Linked DNA regions of Sus scrofa. The protein of the gene in region 3 binds, or shares a complex with, the protein of the main gene of each other region. Links are inferred from orthologs where the notes say so. Each region holds a gene or a part of one and is shown on either strand. Other genes may lie near its edges.

Evidence for each region. Proteins that work in one complex are often made in the same cells at the same time.
Region 1: SMARCC2 (region 3) and SMARCD1 share a complex: the UniProt entries of both Homo sapiens proteins name them as parts of the BAF complex. The link is inferred for Sus scrofa from reciprocal best matches to the Homo sapiens genes SMARCC2 and SMARCD1.
Region 2: SMARCC2 (region 3) and SMARCD3 share a complex: the UniProt entries of both Homo sapiens proteins name them as parts of the BAF complex. The link is inferred for Sus scrofa from reciprocal best matches to the Homo sapiens genes SMARCC2 and SMARCD3.
Region 4: SMARCC2 (region 3) and ACTL6B share a complex: the UniProt entries of both Homo sapiens proteins name them as parts of the BAF complex. The link is inferred for Sus scrofa from reciprocal best matches to the Homo sapiens genes SMARCC2 and ACTL6B.

What each region holds. Positions count from the first base shown.
Region 1 is NC_010447.5:15,991,313-15,995,607, reverse strand, and holds the start of SMARCD1 (SWI/SNF-related matrix-associated actin-dependent regulator of chromatin subfamily D member 1), read right to left. Parts: upstream 2,802-4,295; coding exon 2,625-2,801; intron 1,973-2,624; coding exon 1,785-1,972; intron 1,537-1,784; coding exon 1,494-1,536; intron 1,398-1,493; coding exon 1,275-1,397; intron 795-1,274; coding exon 672-794; intron 1-671. UniProt on the Homo sapiens protein: Involved in transcriptional activation and repression of select genes by chromatin remodeling (alteration of DNA-nucleosome topology).
Region 2 is NC_010460.4:5,957,162-5,961,266, reverse strand, and holds the start of SMARCD3 (SWI/SNF-related matrix-associated actin-dependent regulator of chromatin subfamily D member 3), read right to left. Parts: upstream 2,802-4,105; 5' UTR 2,701-2,801; intron 991-2,700; 5' UTR 889-990; coding exon 850-888; intron 1-849. UniProt on the Homo sapiens protein: Involved in transcriptional activation and repression of select genes by chromatin remodeling (alteration of DNA-nucleosome topology).
Region 3 is NC_010447.5:21,576,719-21,580,276, forward strand, and holds part of SMARCC2 (SWI/SNF complex subunit SMARCC2), read right to left. Parts: intron 3,343-3,558; coding exon 3,267-3,342; intron 3,113-3,266; coding exon 2,981-3,112; intron 2,881-2,980; coding exon 2,765-2,880; intron 1,859-2,764; coding exon 1,734-1,858; intron 864-1,733; coding exon 804-863; intron 693-803; coding exon 655-692; intron 384-654; coding exon 253-383; intron 1-252. UniProt on the Homo sapiens protein: Involved in transcriptional activation and repression of select genes by chromatin remodeling (alteration of DNA-nucleosome topology).
Region 4 is NC_010445.4:8,565,974-8,570,282, reverse strand, and holds the start of ACTL6B (actin-like protein 6B), read left to right. Parts: upstream 1-1,508; 5' UTR 1,509-1,613; coding exon 1,614-1,638; intron 1,639-2,092; coding exon 2,093-2,169; intron 2,170-2,363; coding exon 2,364-2,529; intron 2,530-2,834; coding exon 2,835-2,935; intron 2,936-4,309. UniProt on the Homo sapiens protein: Involved in transcriptional activation and repression of select genes by chromatin remodeling (alteration of DNA-nucleosome topology).

The DNA.
Region 1 (4,295 bases), about 5.6 Mb from region 3:
AGAAAAGAAGGAGGCTCTGACACGAGCCCTGGTTCTCCTGAAAAATGCATTCATACTGGCTTGCCTGTGAACAGCTAAAAATAGAGAGCAAGAGAATATAAGGGAATGGCAGGTGAGCTTCCCCAAGGAGCTTCTGGGGTGTGAAGTCTGGGGGCTATCACCTGTCAGCTGATGTTCCCCATGAGGCAGCAAAGAGCCTGTCCGAGAGACCTCGCCCATGGAAACTGTGAAATGTCTCCAGTGGAAACTGGGAAGACGGCAATACTGCAGCGGGAATCAAGGACCTCAAGGACTCTGGGAGGAAAGCAGGGCCTCAAATGCTAAGTGCAAACTCACTTGGTTTAAAAAACAAAAACAAAACCAGAACAACCCTAACTGGAAAATCTGCAGATACTGCCAAATCCAAGGGCTAGCAGCATCAGGAGGGAGACAAACAACAAATCAAATCCCAGGGCAATACGGTTCTCCATACGATACCACAGAGAGAGCCAGGCTGTGGGAGCCAGACACAAAGAACCATTGTCTTTTAGCGCAGGGAACACAGTGACCCTCTCCCTGCTGTTCCCAACAGGAGCTGTGAGCACCAGTCAGGCTTCCTGCCAACCAGACAATACTGCTTGTTCCCAGCAGCTCCCACCCTAGATGCTGACCACAGTGGACCTTGAACTCACATCCTCCAGGAGGCGTCCTTCTACCCGAAGCTCCCAGGAAGCCACCGTCCCTTCCCCATCCTCGGCATCTGACTTAGCCGGATTGAAAGTGTTAGAAATGAAAATTCGCAGCTTCCGTTTTTGCTGAGGAAGGCAGAAACAGGATTGACAGTGGGGCTTCAGTGGTTTCACGCTGAAGACCAGGGTCTCCCCAAACCCCAAAACGTCTCCTAACAGACTGGCTTACTATTTACCCAGGCCCTGGGGTGGGTGGACGGAGATTCCACCTAGAAGAGCACAGGCCACTGGCCCAAATGCAAGTGCATGCACTGGGGTGCCAGGTAGACAAAGTCATGCGAGGTGCCAGGTTCCCAAGGTGACAGAGCAGTTATAGCAAAAACACCAACAGAGTATATTTCTGGTGCAAGAACTACCAAAAGCCCCTCCCCCTGAGCTGTTCTGTTCTTATGCTTCTAATGTAATTCTCGGTTTGTAGGCGGAAGGGAGAGATGTAATTTAAATGCCAAGGAGAGCGGCGCTATGCCTTTGATTTCTCATCCTTAGCCTGCTGAAGGTTCCCGAGTCCTCTCCTTTGGCTCTCTGCCTAGCACTCTCCTGCGTTACCTTGATGGGACGCTTCAAGGCCTCCTGGATATCTAGCCGTTTCCTCATGATAGTCTGGTCCAGTTTCCTTTCAAAAGCCAAGAGATCCATATAGGCCTGGGATTCTGGTACCAGTTCACGAATCTGAGGAACAGAAAGGTATCATTGGGATCTAGAGCTGGCCATCTCTCTTCTCCAACTCAACACACCCTCAAGAAGACCTATACAGCCTGGACTCACCCTTTGAGGTAGAATTTTGTCAGCCATCTTCTTTTTCTTTGCACTGTTTGGAATAAATACTGTTATCAGGTTGGGATGGAACTAGCCAGAACATGAAGACAGGCTGTCAGCACCTCCATTTATAGTCAAGAGAAAGAACCGCAAAGCTTCTCTCAAATCAAAGACACCCCCCACCCCCACCAAACACGAAACAGTCTCCACTGTCTGCTGACACAGCGTCGTCACTTCTTGCTTGAGGTACTCCCACCACCTGTGTCCGCCCTCCCGCTCTCCACCCTGGGGTCATCTTACTTGTGGTTCCGATTTTGGACCGCCTGTTGCTGGACCTGCTGGATCTGCTGAGGTGCAGGTCTCTTGCGGGACTGGTCCATCCCTGACTGGGCCAGGCCAGGTCGGACTGAAGGGTTCCCCCCATAGCCAGGGGGTCCCATGGAAGGTCCCTGAGGTGTCATTCGGCTGCCTGGTAGCATACCTGGTCTCTACAGAGGGGAGAGGACCCAGAGATGTCATGGCTTCCCTTGCAAACCCCACCAGGAAAGGGAAAGTGGGGGAAGCCTGAGTTCTCTGAATCGAACCAGGCTGGGGGCATGGGGGGTGGGAGAAGACCCCTCTACCTCTTTGAAATATAGATCACTGGAGCTTCCTCTGCTCCACTTGTGATCCCACAGGGGACTCCAGCCCAAAGCTAAGAGAGCAGATTATACTCAAATTCTCCCCAGTCTAGTTTGTATCTGCCATTGGACATCTCCTCTGCTCCCAGTACTCAGACAGCACAGCCAGCTACCATCTCCTCAAAAGCTGACCTCAATTTGCCAGGTACACCTTCTGTGCTCCTCTGGGCACTGGAGCTGCCTAAGCCTTTTTGCACTCCAACTCTCACAAGCCCACCCTTGGCCCCGCTTCGTTCACCCTGGTTCTACACCCCGACTCCCCAAGGAAACAATGCCCCTACGAGCTGGTGGGGATGCTAACCGCCTCCCCTCCCTTCCGCGCACTGCCTCCCCCGACCCTCCCTCGCGAACCGAATCCCTCCCAGGGGAGTCCCTCCTACTCCTCCCCCCACCCCGTCACTCCCAGGCCCCCGCTCGGCCCCGCCCCCGGCCCGCGCGCCCCTCCTCCTGCCCCACTCACCGGATAGGCCGCTCCGGGCATCGGGGAGCGGTACAGCCCTTGACCCGGCGCCGGGCCCATTCGCACCGGAGGCCCCGGAGTCCCGCCCGGGCCCAGGGCAGCCGCCGCGCCCGCCCCGCCTGAAGCTCCGGCGCCGCCACTCGGAGCCACAGACTGGAAACCCGCCCGGGCCGCCATCTTTCCCGGAGCCGCTGCTGCAGCTGCACAAAGAACCGGAACCGGAACTCCCCCCGCCCCCGCGCGCCCCCAGCGCGCCCGCCTGTCCGCCCGGCCGGCCCGCCGGCACGGGAGGCCCAGGGCAGCGAGACTGTGGGCTAGAGGGGGGCGACGAGCGGAAAAAGCGTGCTGACCACTCCCTCCAGCCTTCGCGGTCCGGCAGGGAACACCATCGAGAAGAGCTCTGGGATAGAGAGGCCCGTGAGCGGGCGCCCCCAGGCCGGCGGGAGGAAGACAAGGACCTGGAAAGGGGGACCACAGCACCGTCCCAAAGCTCTGATGAAGAGGGTGATGGAGTAACTGCTTCATCTGGGCGCAGGGCGTTTTAACTTTCCAAAGCGCGTGTTTCTTTTCCTTCTCCTCCGGCTCTAAGCCCAGGAGCCGAAGAGGAGGACGCACCTTTCCATTTTGCAAACAGGAGAGGTGAACTCGAGAGGAAATGACTCGGTGTAGTCAACCAGCAAGTTAACGCGAAAGCCAAGGCTTAGAATCCAGGTCTGGCTCATAGCCCAGGGCTCATGCCACAGATAAAGTGCCTCAATAACTACCTAATGCTAGAACTTCAACCCAGCCTTTCCCCTGACCTTTAACCTAACCTGCTTCCAGATTTTAAGTATATTTTGAAGTTTGACCCCACGCCGTCTCCAAAGCCTCCTTTGTACTAGGATTTCTCTTTGGGATCTTTGTTAACCTTTGATCTCTTCCTCTTTCCCTGCCCAGTGGTTCAAACCATTTCTGGTGTGATGGTCAGCTTGTCCCATCCCAGGACCAGCGTATCCCTGCTCTGGCTCCCTTACTCCTCCCCTGATTGGCCCCAATCCAAGGTCAGCTCTTAGTAGGAAGTCCTACATACTATTCAAATAAGAGAAGAACGACACTGAAGAGGAGATGGTTGAAACCCAGTTTATTAGACCAGAGACATGCGTCACCCATAGCCCTGCCTGCTGTTCCCCATCTGGTGCACACCCTTTGGCCTTGCTCCTGCTTCCCTCTGGAGAGGTCTGATCTCCTAGGAGTTCCCAGGAACCCAGAGTTCCCAAAGATCCTACAGCCTCACCCTGCAGCTCCAGGTCAATGCACAGGTGACCTGCCACAGGTCTTGTTCTGGGGGTGGAGACTGAGAGACAGCTGGGCAGAGAAGGCCTGGGAAGAGGCAGCGCTCTGGCCTGAGGGGAGCGCCTGGTGGAGGAGGCACGGCAGGTCCTTGGCCTCACAGGTTTCTCATTAAAGTAGGAAGGGAGGGACAGAACGGCAGAGTTTTAACTTCCCCTCTAGGCCTGTCTCTTTCCTCCCGCTACCAAACCATACCTTACCAGAAAATATAAGTGGTGGGCTTGGGTATTAGGTGAGCAAAGGGGCCTGGGCAGCCAGGAGGGAAAGGCCACTGACTAAAGACCTCAGCTGCCACCTGTCAGCACCCTGCTGCTTCAGCTGCAGGGGTCCCCAACCCTCAGC
Region 2 (4,105 bases), on a different chromosome or scaffold from region 3:
ACGGGGGCGGGGGGCTGGACAGGCCGAGCTCAGCCCAGATGGCATGTCTCGGACCCAGCTCCACCCTCACGCAGATGAATGGGGCTCTGGGCCAGGTGGCCGTTCCACACGGTGCCTCAGCGCTTCCTTCTGCACCAGGGGCCCCGACGGGGGACTAGCCAGGCTGTCTCCTCTCACGCTGCCTGCCGGGAGTTGGCGCGCTCACTACGGGCCTGAGAGCCAGCACCTCTGAGCCGGAGGCCTGCCTGGTGGCAGGGCAAGGCCAGCTCCACCAGAGGCCCTGCCACAGGACGCCACCCCTCCTGCCTGGAACGAACCCCTGTCCGGGTCCCAGAAAGCTTTCGGATGTTCGCCATAGCAGGTTTGGGGGTAGGTTTCCAGAGCCCAAGTTGTGCCAGGATCAGCGGTTTCCTCCCAGCTGTGTGCTGGGGTGTGTGTGTGTGTGTGTGTGTGTGTGTGTGTGTGTGTGCGCTCGCGCACAGGTGAGGGGCGAGAAGGCGTGTGTCTGGGTGTCCGTGGGGAGGACATGGAACAAGCCAGAGGAGGCTCACTTGTCCCTGGCTCCGACTGGCTTCAAGAGGCAGGACCCAGGGACAGTGGAAAGTAAGGGGACCCTGAGCAAGAGGGGGGGCCAGTGTGGAGGTGGCTGCCAGCAGGGCCTGGGCAGAGGTTCCAATTGGGGTAGGGGATGAGAAGAGGCCCTGCCACAGGTCCAGCTCGGGGCAGAAGGGCCAAGAGGGGGCCCAGGGGTAGGACCAGAGGCTGAGAGCCAGTGACTCTCAGTGGAACCCCGAGGCTCCTGCTCCAGGGCTGGCGGGGGTGGGGTGGGGGGAGGGCAGCAGCGCCTACCTGTACCACGGCGGGTGGGTGCTGAAGGCCTGGAGTCATAGGTGGCAGGGTCCTGCAGCGGGGGAGTCATCCAGTGCCCCCTCGGTGCCCGGGCCCAGAGCCTACCGTGCCTGCAGCACCAAGGGCCATTCTGGGGGGGATCTGAAAGGAGAGGGCAGTGGGAGGGACTGGCCAGACCCCGAGCCCCAGAGCCAGACTCACAAGGGCCTGCTGTGTGGACCAGCTCCATGACAAGGTCTGAGGAAGGCAGGAGGCGCGTAGGAAGGGAGCAGGGGGCGGGCTGGGCCAGCCTGGCTGGGTGGCACAAGGAAGGGCAGCGTGACTGCAGGAAGCAGTCAGAGACCAAGGCCTACAGGTCAGGCCTGGAAGGATGCGAGTCAAGGAGCTGGCAGAGCCCAGGCCCTGGCAGAGGCAGCACCTTTGGGGGGTCCTGTCAAGAGTGGAGGAGAGAGCCGGGCACTGGGGTGGGGAGGGCATGACCGGCAGCCAGGATGGGACCTGGATGACTTCTGGAGCTCAAGGATGTCCCAAGGGACAGCTAGGGGTGGGTGGCAGTAGAGCCAACCCGCTCTGTAGTCTGCCCAGCCGACAGTGGGCCCTCCCTGTGTGCCCAGCCTTCGTGGTCACCCCCTGCCAGGGAGGAAGGCGGTGGGCTAGGGTCAGAACCCAACTTGTGGGCAGACAGCAGGTTGGGGGACGAGGAGGGGGCAGTGTGGTAGCTTGGGAGCAGTGTGGGGGCTTGGGAGCAGTTCAGGGGCATGTGCTGGGGGTGTTGGCCAGAGGGTGACTCTGAGAAGGGTGAGGAGGCAGGGAGGCAGTGAGAGGAGGGAGATGCCAAGAGGGGAGGATGTTACCAGCCTGGGGCAGGGGAGGAGGTACCTGGCAGGAAGAGGGACAATCTGAATGGGGGAGAGGTGTTGGGCAAGAGGAGGCCAAGAGGAAGGGGCACAAGGGAGGGAAGGAGGGGCCAGGCAGGGGGGAGGGAGAGGGCCAGGCAGGGGGGAGAGGGGAGAGACAGGCGGGGGGAGGGGGAGGAGGAGGGCAGGGGAGGGGGTTGGGCCAGGCAGGGGTGGGGTGGGGGTGCCAAGCATGGGGGAGGGGGGGAGATGCCAGGTAGGGAGGGGGTGGGGAGGAAAGCTCCAGTCAGGAGCAGGGCAGGAAAGTGCTGGGCAGGGAGGAGGGGACAGGCCACTGGGGACAAGTAGGTACAAGGCAGTTGGGGAGGAGGGAAGGTGCCAGACACGAGGGAGGAGAGGAAGGTACCAGGCAGGAGAGTGCCAGGCAAAGGGAAAACGGGGGAATGCAGGGGAGGGGGAGAGGGGAGGGACCAGGTAAGGGGAGGAGGGAAAGAAGCCGGGTGAGGCGTGGAGGGGGAAGAATCAGAGAGGAGGCTGGATGGGAGTTTGCCAGTCAGGGAAGAGGTGCAAGAAAGGGAGTGGGGGGAGGTGCCAGGCGGGGCGGTGGGGCGAGGGGAGTCAGGAGTGGGGGGAGAGATCAGGAAAGGAGAGGGGGGGAGCCAGGCAGGGAGAAGGGGGTGCCAGGTAAGAGGAAGGTGCCAGGAAGGGGTAAGAAGGGAGGTGCCAGGCAGAGGGAGAACAGGGAAATGCCAGGCAAGGGGAGGGGGGAAGGAAACGCCAGACGGGGGGGGGGGGCGGTGAGGGATGCCAGGCAGGCGGGAGGCGAGGAGGTACCAGGCGGGGGGGAGGAGGGATGCCAGGCAAAGGAAGGAGGGGTGATGCCAGTAGAGGCAAGACGGGTACTGCCAAGCAGGGAAGGCCGGGGCGCCGGCGCAGCGCGGCCGGGCGGCGTCTCCTCCAAGGGCCTGGGGGCCGCGCGGCGCGGGTCGCTCACCTGCTCCCCCGGGACCCCGGCCCGGAGCGCGGTCGCTCGCTCCCTGCTCGGCGCTCGGCTCGGCCCGGCGCCTGCGCCGCTGCTGCCGGGAGCGGGGGAGGCGCAGGGAGCGTCTGCAAAGAGCGAGGAGCTTAATAATGAGTTAGGGATCAGAGCAGTCAGCGTCGCCCCATCCATCCGAATGTGCGATCGCCACGCTTGGAGCACCGCGGCGCGCACTGGCCGGGCCCATTGTGATGTTCATTTAGTCAGTGCACAGATGTGCCTTCGTCTGTAGATGCGCCTCTGCGCCCGCGGATTCACATAGACCTTCAGAGGGTCCGATGTGACCGCAGACATTAGGCGCATGGGACCACAGACAGACAGACACACACACTCTCAGTGGGGAGAGGGCCTCGGTTCCACTCCAGGTTCAAGGACAGGCTCCGACGGATGCCCCCGCCCCGCCCCGTCATGCATGTGCACGCTCCTGGTCTAATCTGTGTCCCTCCGGGCTGTACTACCGATTCCGCGGGGACGCTGGCCCCGGAGAATCCCTTCCTGGACTTGCAGCCAGAGGAGCCGCTCTGGTCACTCCGCAGGCTGTCTCTGTGAATCTGACTATTCTTGAGTACTTCATACAAATGAAATCATTCTGTATTTGCCCTTTGGCGACTGGCTGATTTCACTGAGCATAACGGCCTTGAGCTTCATCCATGCTGTAACGTGTCAGAAATTCCATCCTTTTGAGGAGAAGATTCCTGTTGTCTGCATATATGCAATGCACAGATGAATATATGCCATTTTTTTTTAAGTCTTTCTGGGCAGCACCTGTGGCATATGGAGGTTCCTAGGCTAGGGGTGGAATTGGAGCTGCAGCTGCAGGCCTACACCACAGCCACAGCAATTTGTAATCTGAGCTGAGTCTGCCACCTACACCACAGCTCACAGCAATGCTGGATCCTTAGCCCACAGAGCGAGGCCAGGGATTGAACCTGCATCCTCATGGATACTAGTGGGGTTCATTACCACTGAGCCACGCGGGGAACTCTTACACACCACATTTTGTTGACCCATTTGAAACTGACAGTATTAATGGCCTGAACCTAGCCAGAACACAGATTGGGGCTTGAACCCATGTTTTAAACGAGCACTCACCTGAGGTCTGGACTCACTGAGGTTCAGGTTCTTTATGCTTCCGTGCAGAAGGAATTCAGCGAGAGACACAGTGATAGCCAAGAAATAGATTTATTAGGATAGGACGCTTGTGAGGGATGCCAGCAGGCAGGCAAGGAAGCTCTGCCCCACGAATCAGGTGGGCTACAGCTTTATCATCCAGGGGGAGTGGGGGTCGGAAAAGCCCGCCTCTTCCTTTCTGGGAGTAGCAGCTCCTCCTGGGTATCCGGAAAGGTGTGTATTCAAATCC
Region 3 (3,558 bases):
GACATGGGAGCCCCCAAGACAGGAAAAGCCCAGAATGTGGGGCATCAGGAAGGAGATGAGATGCTTAAGGAGAACTTCCCACCGAGGCTGGAAGACTCAACGAGACTCCTAGGGGCGCCCCTCAAACTGAACTGTACCCCCGTCTGTATGGCTAAGGAAGAGATAACTTATTTAGAGGCAGGAGGAGGAACAACACGCTGACCTCTGGCGGCAGGGAAGTAAGGATTTAGGGAGAAGCTGGAGCAACAATACCTATTATAGTCAAACCAGGCAGCGTAGCTGGGGATGATGATGTGGTGGGTCTGTTCGGTCACATTGTCCTCGTGTAGGTCCGGATTCTTGGTCTGCTCTCCCTTGTTCCCCGTACTGTTCTCATCTTCATCCTATGAGCATGGAGGCTGTTGGACTCCGAGCATTCCCATTCCGCCCCCCGGCAGACCCTGCTTCTCCCACACCCAGGAATGCTGGCACTGAAGACTGGGGTGGGAATGAGCTGTTAGGGGCCCCAGGACTCCAAGGGTCAGAGTTTTGAGCAACAGCTGGACTTCGTCTAGGGTGGGAAAAGTCTGGGCAGAGGAAAGTTCTGGGGAGAAGGAACTTTATAATCACAAGTCAGAAGCACAGAGGGGCAGGGCCTCTCTAAACTGGCTCCACCTTGCCCGTAGTCTCCATGCTCTCATCTTCTTGTTCATCTGAAAGAGAGCGACAGCAGAGAGAAGGCAGGATAGGAGGCCCTGCGGGCCAGAGGACAGGTGCGCTTTCTGAAAGGCCCCGCGCCTCCTTCCTCTTGCTCCCCATCTTACCCAGGTCCGTCATGGTGCCTCCTTTGACCGGGGCTGACTCTGAGTCCTTCTTAGTGTTGACTGCCAGAGGAGAGAGTCATTTTACCAGGCAGTTTCTGCCCAAATCAAGACCTTGCCTCTCCACTGTTAACAGTTCCAGAGAGCTCGCTTTCTCCAAAAACTTGTTCCACCTCATCACAAACTGTAGTAATGTCTTCCAGCTGCAATCATTCTAGGGCCGGAAACTCCCCTGCCGCTTTCTCCCCTTCCCCAACCAAAAATTCATTTAACTCAATTTGTTTCTTAAAAAGAAGCATCTTCTACTCTATGTAATTCATCCATCATCCTTGTCTTTGTCAGGCCCTTATTCCATCTATGTGTCTGTAAGTTCTTTTTTTTTTTTTTTTTTTAGTCTTTTTGCAGCATACAGAGGTTCCCAGGCTAGGGGTCTAATCAGAGCTATAGCTGCTGGCCTACACCACAGCCACGGCAATGCCAGATCCGAGCCGCGTCTGTGACCTATACCACAGCTCACGGCAACGCTGGATCCTTAACCCACTGAGCAAGGCCAGGGGTTGGAACTCCTATATTCTTTTTAATCTTATCCTTTTTGTTTTCCCATTTTTAGATAATGTATTAGTGTGTTTATAATGTTCCCAAAGTAGTGGTAAAGGGTACATGTATATAACTTGTGCTCAATATTGACAGTGGTATTTAATCCAAAAGACCTTTGGAGACAATTACTGTCAGGCACAGAGCACAGTCCACAACCCAGACAGGAATATGAAGTTCGAGGATTGTCTGTGGTGATGAAAATGGTTTTAATAACCAGCTATGTTGAAGGGAAAGAAGCCCTAGACCTGGAGCTGGGTCTGGGAGGTCAGGTGGTTTGACCCAGGACAGGGAGGATGGGGGTGGGGGTGGGGTCCAGGAGCTTGGCTGGGCCCATACCTGTTTTGGGCAACGTCACCTCTTCCACATTGGGAACCGGTGAGGGCTCATCCATGTCCTTTGTCAGGTCTTCTTGCTCCTCTTCTCTGTGGCCACGCTTTGACTTGGTGTAAGGTGTTGAGGGACTGGGAAGGAAAGAGAGGGAAAGAGAATCCTGTCATCTCTGGACAAGGAATCCCTGGAGGGAGAGCTTCAAGGGAAGGGAGGCAAGAGGGACTCCCAAAGGGTCTGTGACGAACACCATGATAAACATAATGAACATTGCCCAGAGTTCCCATCGTGGTGCATCGGAAACGAATCCAGCTGGGAACCATGAGGTTGCAGGTTCGATCCCTGCCCTTGCTCAGTGGGTTAAGGATCTGGTGTTGCCATGAGCTGTGGTGTAGGTCAGACACGACTTGGATCTGGTGTTGCTGTGGCTGTGGCGTAGGCCGGTGGCTACAGCTCCAATTAGACCCCTAGCCTGGGAACCTCCATATGCCGAGGGAGCAGCCCTAAAAAGGCAATAAAAGCGGGAAAAAAATAACACTGCCATATGGGACACATGCAAATTGCTAAGAGAGTAAATCCTCAGAGTTCTCAGCATAAGAAAAAAAGTTAATTTATTTTTCTCTGTCTTTAATTATGTTATCTACATGAGATGATGGATGTTCATGAACTCACAGTGATAATCACTTCATGACATGCGTAAATCAAATCATGATGCTGTATGCCTTAAGCTTATACAGGGCTGTATGTCAGCTACACCTCAAAAAAACTGGAAGGGAAAAAAAAAAAGAGAGAGAGAAAATCCGGGGGCAGAGCCGAGCAAAAAGAGGAAACAATCACTACAGAGTAAAGGGAAGAGGCAAAAGCCTCGAATTTGGAGATTAAGCTCTCTTTGCGCTTCCCGGTGGCCGGGACCAGAACCAGCCACTTGACAACAAAAGGCCTCCTCATCCTCCCTCTCAGGCTGACCCAGGTTGGGGTCTGGTGGTTACGGGAAAAGCATGGACAGAGCAGTGAAGGCAGGGGGTGAGGGGCTGGCCTACCCTTTCTTGGCATTCTTCTTCTTAGCTTCTGGGGTCGGTGAAGGAGAGGGGGAGCGTTTCCGCTTCTTATAGTTCCCTCCTTTCTTGTCCCGTCGATCTGAATCTGGGCTGTTCACCTGCAGGTTGGAGAATTGCAGCAAATGTCAGCCAACAATCTCTGATGAAGACTTATTCCAAGACTTGTGCTAAGGGCTCAAGAAGAAAAGGAGTTTTCACCTCGTCTGTCAATGTCTTGGCTGATATCTTCTTTCGGCGCGAGACAGGGTTTTTGTCATCATTCACTTCATAGTCTTCCTCATTCATCCATTCATTGAAGGTGTCTGTGTCCAGGATCCACTTTGCGTGAACCTGAAGTACAAAGGCAGACTGTGCTGGAGGGAGGCCTGGAAACCCCAGTTCTGCCTGGGGACCCTTAACAGAGGAGCCTCTGCTTCACCTCCAGAGAGGGGTCTGGCCCTGACATTCTTCTTGGGGAGGGTGGGCATGGACAAGAAAAGCTTACCTTTCTGGGTTTCTCAGGAGTTGGAGCATCTTCCACAGATGCTTCAATTTCACTGGCTGGGATCCATGTGTCGTAACTGCCATGGGAAATTAAGCAATCGATGGGGAGAGGGTGTAGAAAAATAAAGTGCAAAACTTTTACCTTTTCCATTGACAAAAAGTATTGGGTTGCTGGGTTATTTTTTGGTATGACTCTTTCCCCAATTAATTGGGATTCTTTTCATCATAAAGTAATAAAAATGACTATAAAAAATTTCAAAAATAGGAGTTCCCATCATGGCTCAATGGAAACA
Region 4 (4,309 bases), on a different chromosome or scaffold from region 3:
GAACTTCAGGGGCATTCAGCCATTGTTCAGAACCCTCTTCCTTGGCTACTTCTGGTCTTAATGTCCCCCTTACCCCCAAACAAGTAGGTAGGAGTGCCCCTGAGCCACACAAGTATTCACACATACATTCATGTATGTGCATATGCACACACATGCTGACACACTCAAACACACACAGATAAGCACACACCTACACACAGGCTCACAAAAGAGTGTCTCAGCTGAGCCAGACTTTCAGAGTTGATCCTTGGCCTTCAATATCAAAACTGCTGTGGAGGAGCTCCCACTGTGGTTCAGTGGAAACAAACCCAACTAGTAACCATGAGGATGCAGTTTAGATCCCTGGCCTTGATCAGTGGGTTAAGGATCTGGCATTGACCAAGCTGTGGTGTAGGTTTAAGGAAGACATGGCTCAGATCTGGTGTTGCTGTGGCTGTGGTGGTGTAGGCCGGCAGCTGCAGCTCAGATTTAATCCCTAGCCTGGGAACTTCCTTTTGCCTCGGGGTGTGGTCCTAAAAAAAAAAAAACAAAACAAAAAACGAAAAATAACGGAGTTCCCGTCGTGGCGCAGTAGTTAACGAATCCGACTAGGAACCACGAGGTTGCGGGTTCGTCCCTGGCCCTGCTCAGTGGGTTAATGATCTGGCGTTGCCGTGAGCTGTGGTGTAGGTTGCAGACGCGGCTTGGATGCCACGTTGCTGTGGCTCTGGCGTAGGCCGATGGCTCCAGCTCCAATTAGACCCCTAGCCTGGGAACCTCCATACGCCGCGGGAGCGGCCCAAGGAATGGCAAAAAAAAAAAAAAAAGCAAACCCCGCCCACCCCCTCCCCCCCCCAAGTGGCCTCAGGCGATGCCCAGAAAAACCTAGGAGCCTCTGGTACAAAACCTGCTTGCTTGATAAATAGCTCCAGAAAGGAATAGATAAAGAGAGCGAAAAGGAAAGGAAGCAAAAGCTAGGTTAGCTGAGTGCCATGTATGAATACGTGTACATGTGTGTACACGTGTGTATGTATAAGGTGTAGGCACTAGGGGATGAGCAGGAAAAGAGGAGTCATCAGAAGGACAAGGGTGGAAAGAAACAGGGAGAAAATCGAGACACACCTGTTTCCTTACCTCTCCTCCTTCCCTACCCCACTTTCCTGGTGATTTCATTTAGTTCAGGGTATGGCAGAACCTTGCTCAGGAGCCTGAGAATGGACGAGTCTGCGAGACTATGGCGCCCTCTCCTCGACCCCATTTTAAAATAAGGAAGCAGAAGCCCTGTCGGTCACCATACAGAGTCCTGATCTCCGGATGGACAAGGTTTCCATCTCTTGCCTACTCCTGCTTCTTGCCTGCCTATCCCTTAGGGCGGGCCTCGAGGTCCTTGATCCCGTTAATTCCCTCCCTGACGCCTAATGTTGAGGTGTCTGGCCCTTTAAAGCAGCAGCCCCCGGTCGAGTTATTGTCTCCCCTCTCAGCCAATCGGCGGCGCCGTTGGGGGCGGGGGACCCGGCCTCCCGATAGGCCGCTCTGAGCCCCGCCCCTCCCGGGATTCCGGGAGCTGTCCGGCCACCTCGGTGCTGATCCCGCCGCCGCCGCCCACGGGCCGCGAGCAGCGCTGAGAGGGCACTATGAGCGGGGGCGTCTATGGCGGAGGTGAGCGAGCCTCGGGCTTCGGGCTCCCCAGCCCGGCGCGGCCTCACCCGAAGCCCAGCGCCCCGAACCCGCGCGATCCAAGCTCTGGACACTCTGGGGCCTGTCACTCGGCGCTACAGCGGGTCCAACCCGGGGTTTGGGTCCTGCACCGCTCCAACCTAAGACCCTTCCCAGACGCTCGCACGCACTCGGCCCAACCTCTCCATCATTCAACCCACCTCCACCCGGCCCCCAGCCTGGCAAGGAGAGTGGCCTGCACACGGGCCACGGGTCAAAAGGGACTTTGGAATCTTGACCCCCACTCCCAAGACCCCGAACTCCTGGCCGAGCTCCCACCTGCCCCGTCCGACGTTGAAGGTGGTGAGACTGTGGCTCTGCCCTGACCTCCTCTCGGAGCAATCCAAGGGGAGAGAGTTTGGGACAGGTCCCCTCACAGGTCTGTCTCTCCGCACAGATGAGGTGGGCGCGCTGGTCTTTGACATTGGCTCCTTCTCAGTCCGCGCTGGGTATGCTGGGGAGGACTGCCCCAAGGTGAGCCTTCCAGCCCCCTCCCCAAATCCTGCCCCCCACCCCCAGGCTTCTCAGTGATCTAGGGTCTCAAGGCCAAGAAAGAAGCTCTGCTGAGCTGGAATTTGGCAGTAAGCCCAGGGATGGGCTGAGAGCCCTGCCAAGGGCCTGGGTAGGTGCAAGAGATTGATTTTTCCTCTGTATTTGCCCCCCTCCAGGCTGACTTCCCCACCACTGTGGGGCTGCTGGCCGCAGAGGAGGGGGGTGGGCTGGAGTTGGAGGGGGAGAAAGAGAAGAAAGGGAAGATCTTTCACATTGATACCAACGCCCTCCACGTGCCTCGGGATGGAGCAGAAGTTATGTCCCCCCTCAAGAATGGCATGAGTAAGGGGCTCGCACCCACTGCCTCCTAACACAGACTGGGAGCCCACCCCCCCTCACCCCAGGGCACAGCACTCCACACCCAAGGAGTCTTCCTTGCAGCTGCCCAAGTCCCAGGGATGCCCTCACTACTTTGCACAGCTGCCTGGTTCCTAACCAGGGGCCACCAGATTCCTGGGGAGGGGGAATTTCTACGGGAGCTTGTCTCACCTCTCCTCCATTGGCCTTGGCCTCCCTCCTTCCTTTCCTTCCTGTCCCTGGACACCCGCCTGCCCACCTTCATCTCTCCCCTGGTCTCCTGGCCCCAGTCGAGGACTGGGAGTGCTTCCGTGCGATCCTGGATCACACCTACAGCAAACACGTCAAGTCCGAGCCAAACCTGCACCCAGTGCTCATGTCTGAGGCCCCGGTAAGTGCCTCATCCAGCCCCTAGTTTAGCTCTGGGTCCCACCATTTACCATTCACCTCTCTCATCAAGCCACTGCCATCAATCACTCCACTTCGCTTTTTGGACTTTCCTTCCTTTTTTTCTTTTTTTTATTTTTAGGACCACACCTGTGACATATGGAGGTTCCCAGGCTAGGGGTCCAATCGGAGCTGTAGCTGCTGGCCTATACGACAGCCACACCAATACAGGATCCAAGCCACGTGTGCAACCTACACCACAGCTCATGACAACGCCGGATCCTTAACCCACTGAGCGAGGCCTGGGGTTGAACCCCCATCCTCATGGATGCTAGTTGGGTTCATTAATAGCTGAGCCACAGGGGGAACTCCCTCAGAGTTTCCTTCCAACACCATCATCTTCAACTACTTTCTTTCCTCCCTGGTTTAATCTCCATGCCTCGCTCTTCCCGCCCCATCCACGTGCTTTTCCCCCAGCCAGACTCCTACACTGCCCCTCCACTGCCCCTCCTCCCAAGATCTTTTTTGAACTTTTAACTTAAAATTGTTGTCCATATTATATATACACATCAATAGTCAATTTACAATAACACAACATTGTAAATGAACTATACTTCAATTTTTGGGTTTTTTGGGGTTTTTTTGGTTGGTTGGTTGGGTGGTTTTTTTTTTTTGTTTTTTTTTTTTTTTGTTTTTTTTTTTTTGCTTTATAGGGCTGTACCCATGGTATATGGAGGTTCCCAGGCTAGGGGTCTAATAGGAACTATAGCTGCCGGCCTACACCACAGCCACAGCAAGGCCAGATCTGAGCTGGGTCTGCAACCTACAGCACATTTCCTGGCAACACCAGATCCTTAACCCACTGAGCGAGGCTAGGGATCGAACCTGCAACCTCATGGTTCCTAATTGGATTCGTTTCCACTGTGCCACATCAGGAACTCCTATACGTCAATTTTTAAGTAAAAAATAAAGTGAAAGTGATAATCAATTTGCTTTAGAAAATATGTTAAGGGAAAAACTGGCATTCATACCCTCTTTCTTCTCTTCACCCTTTTCCAGAGGCAGTTGCTTTTCTCTTAGCTTTTTTTTTTTCCCATTACCTTTCATATCTCTGATTATCACACTTGAATTGAATTGCTGATCATGATTTTTATTTATTTATTTATTTATTTTTAGGGCTGCACCTGAGGCATATGGAAGTTCCCAGACAAGGGGCCAAATCAGAGCTATAGCTGCCAGCCTACACCACAGCCACAGCAAGGCTGGATCTGAGCCTTATCTGTGACCTGCACCACAGCTCTGGGCAATGATGGATCCTTAACCTACTGAGTGAGGCCAGGGATCGAACCTGCATCCTCACTAATACTAGTCATGAATA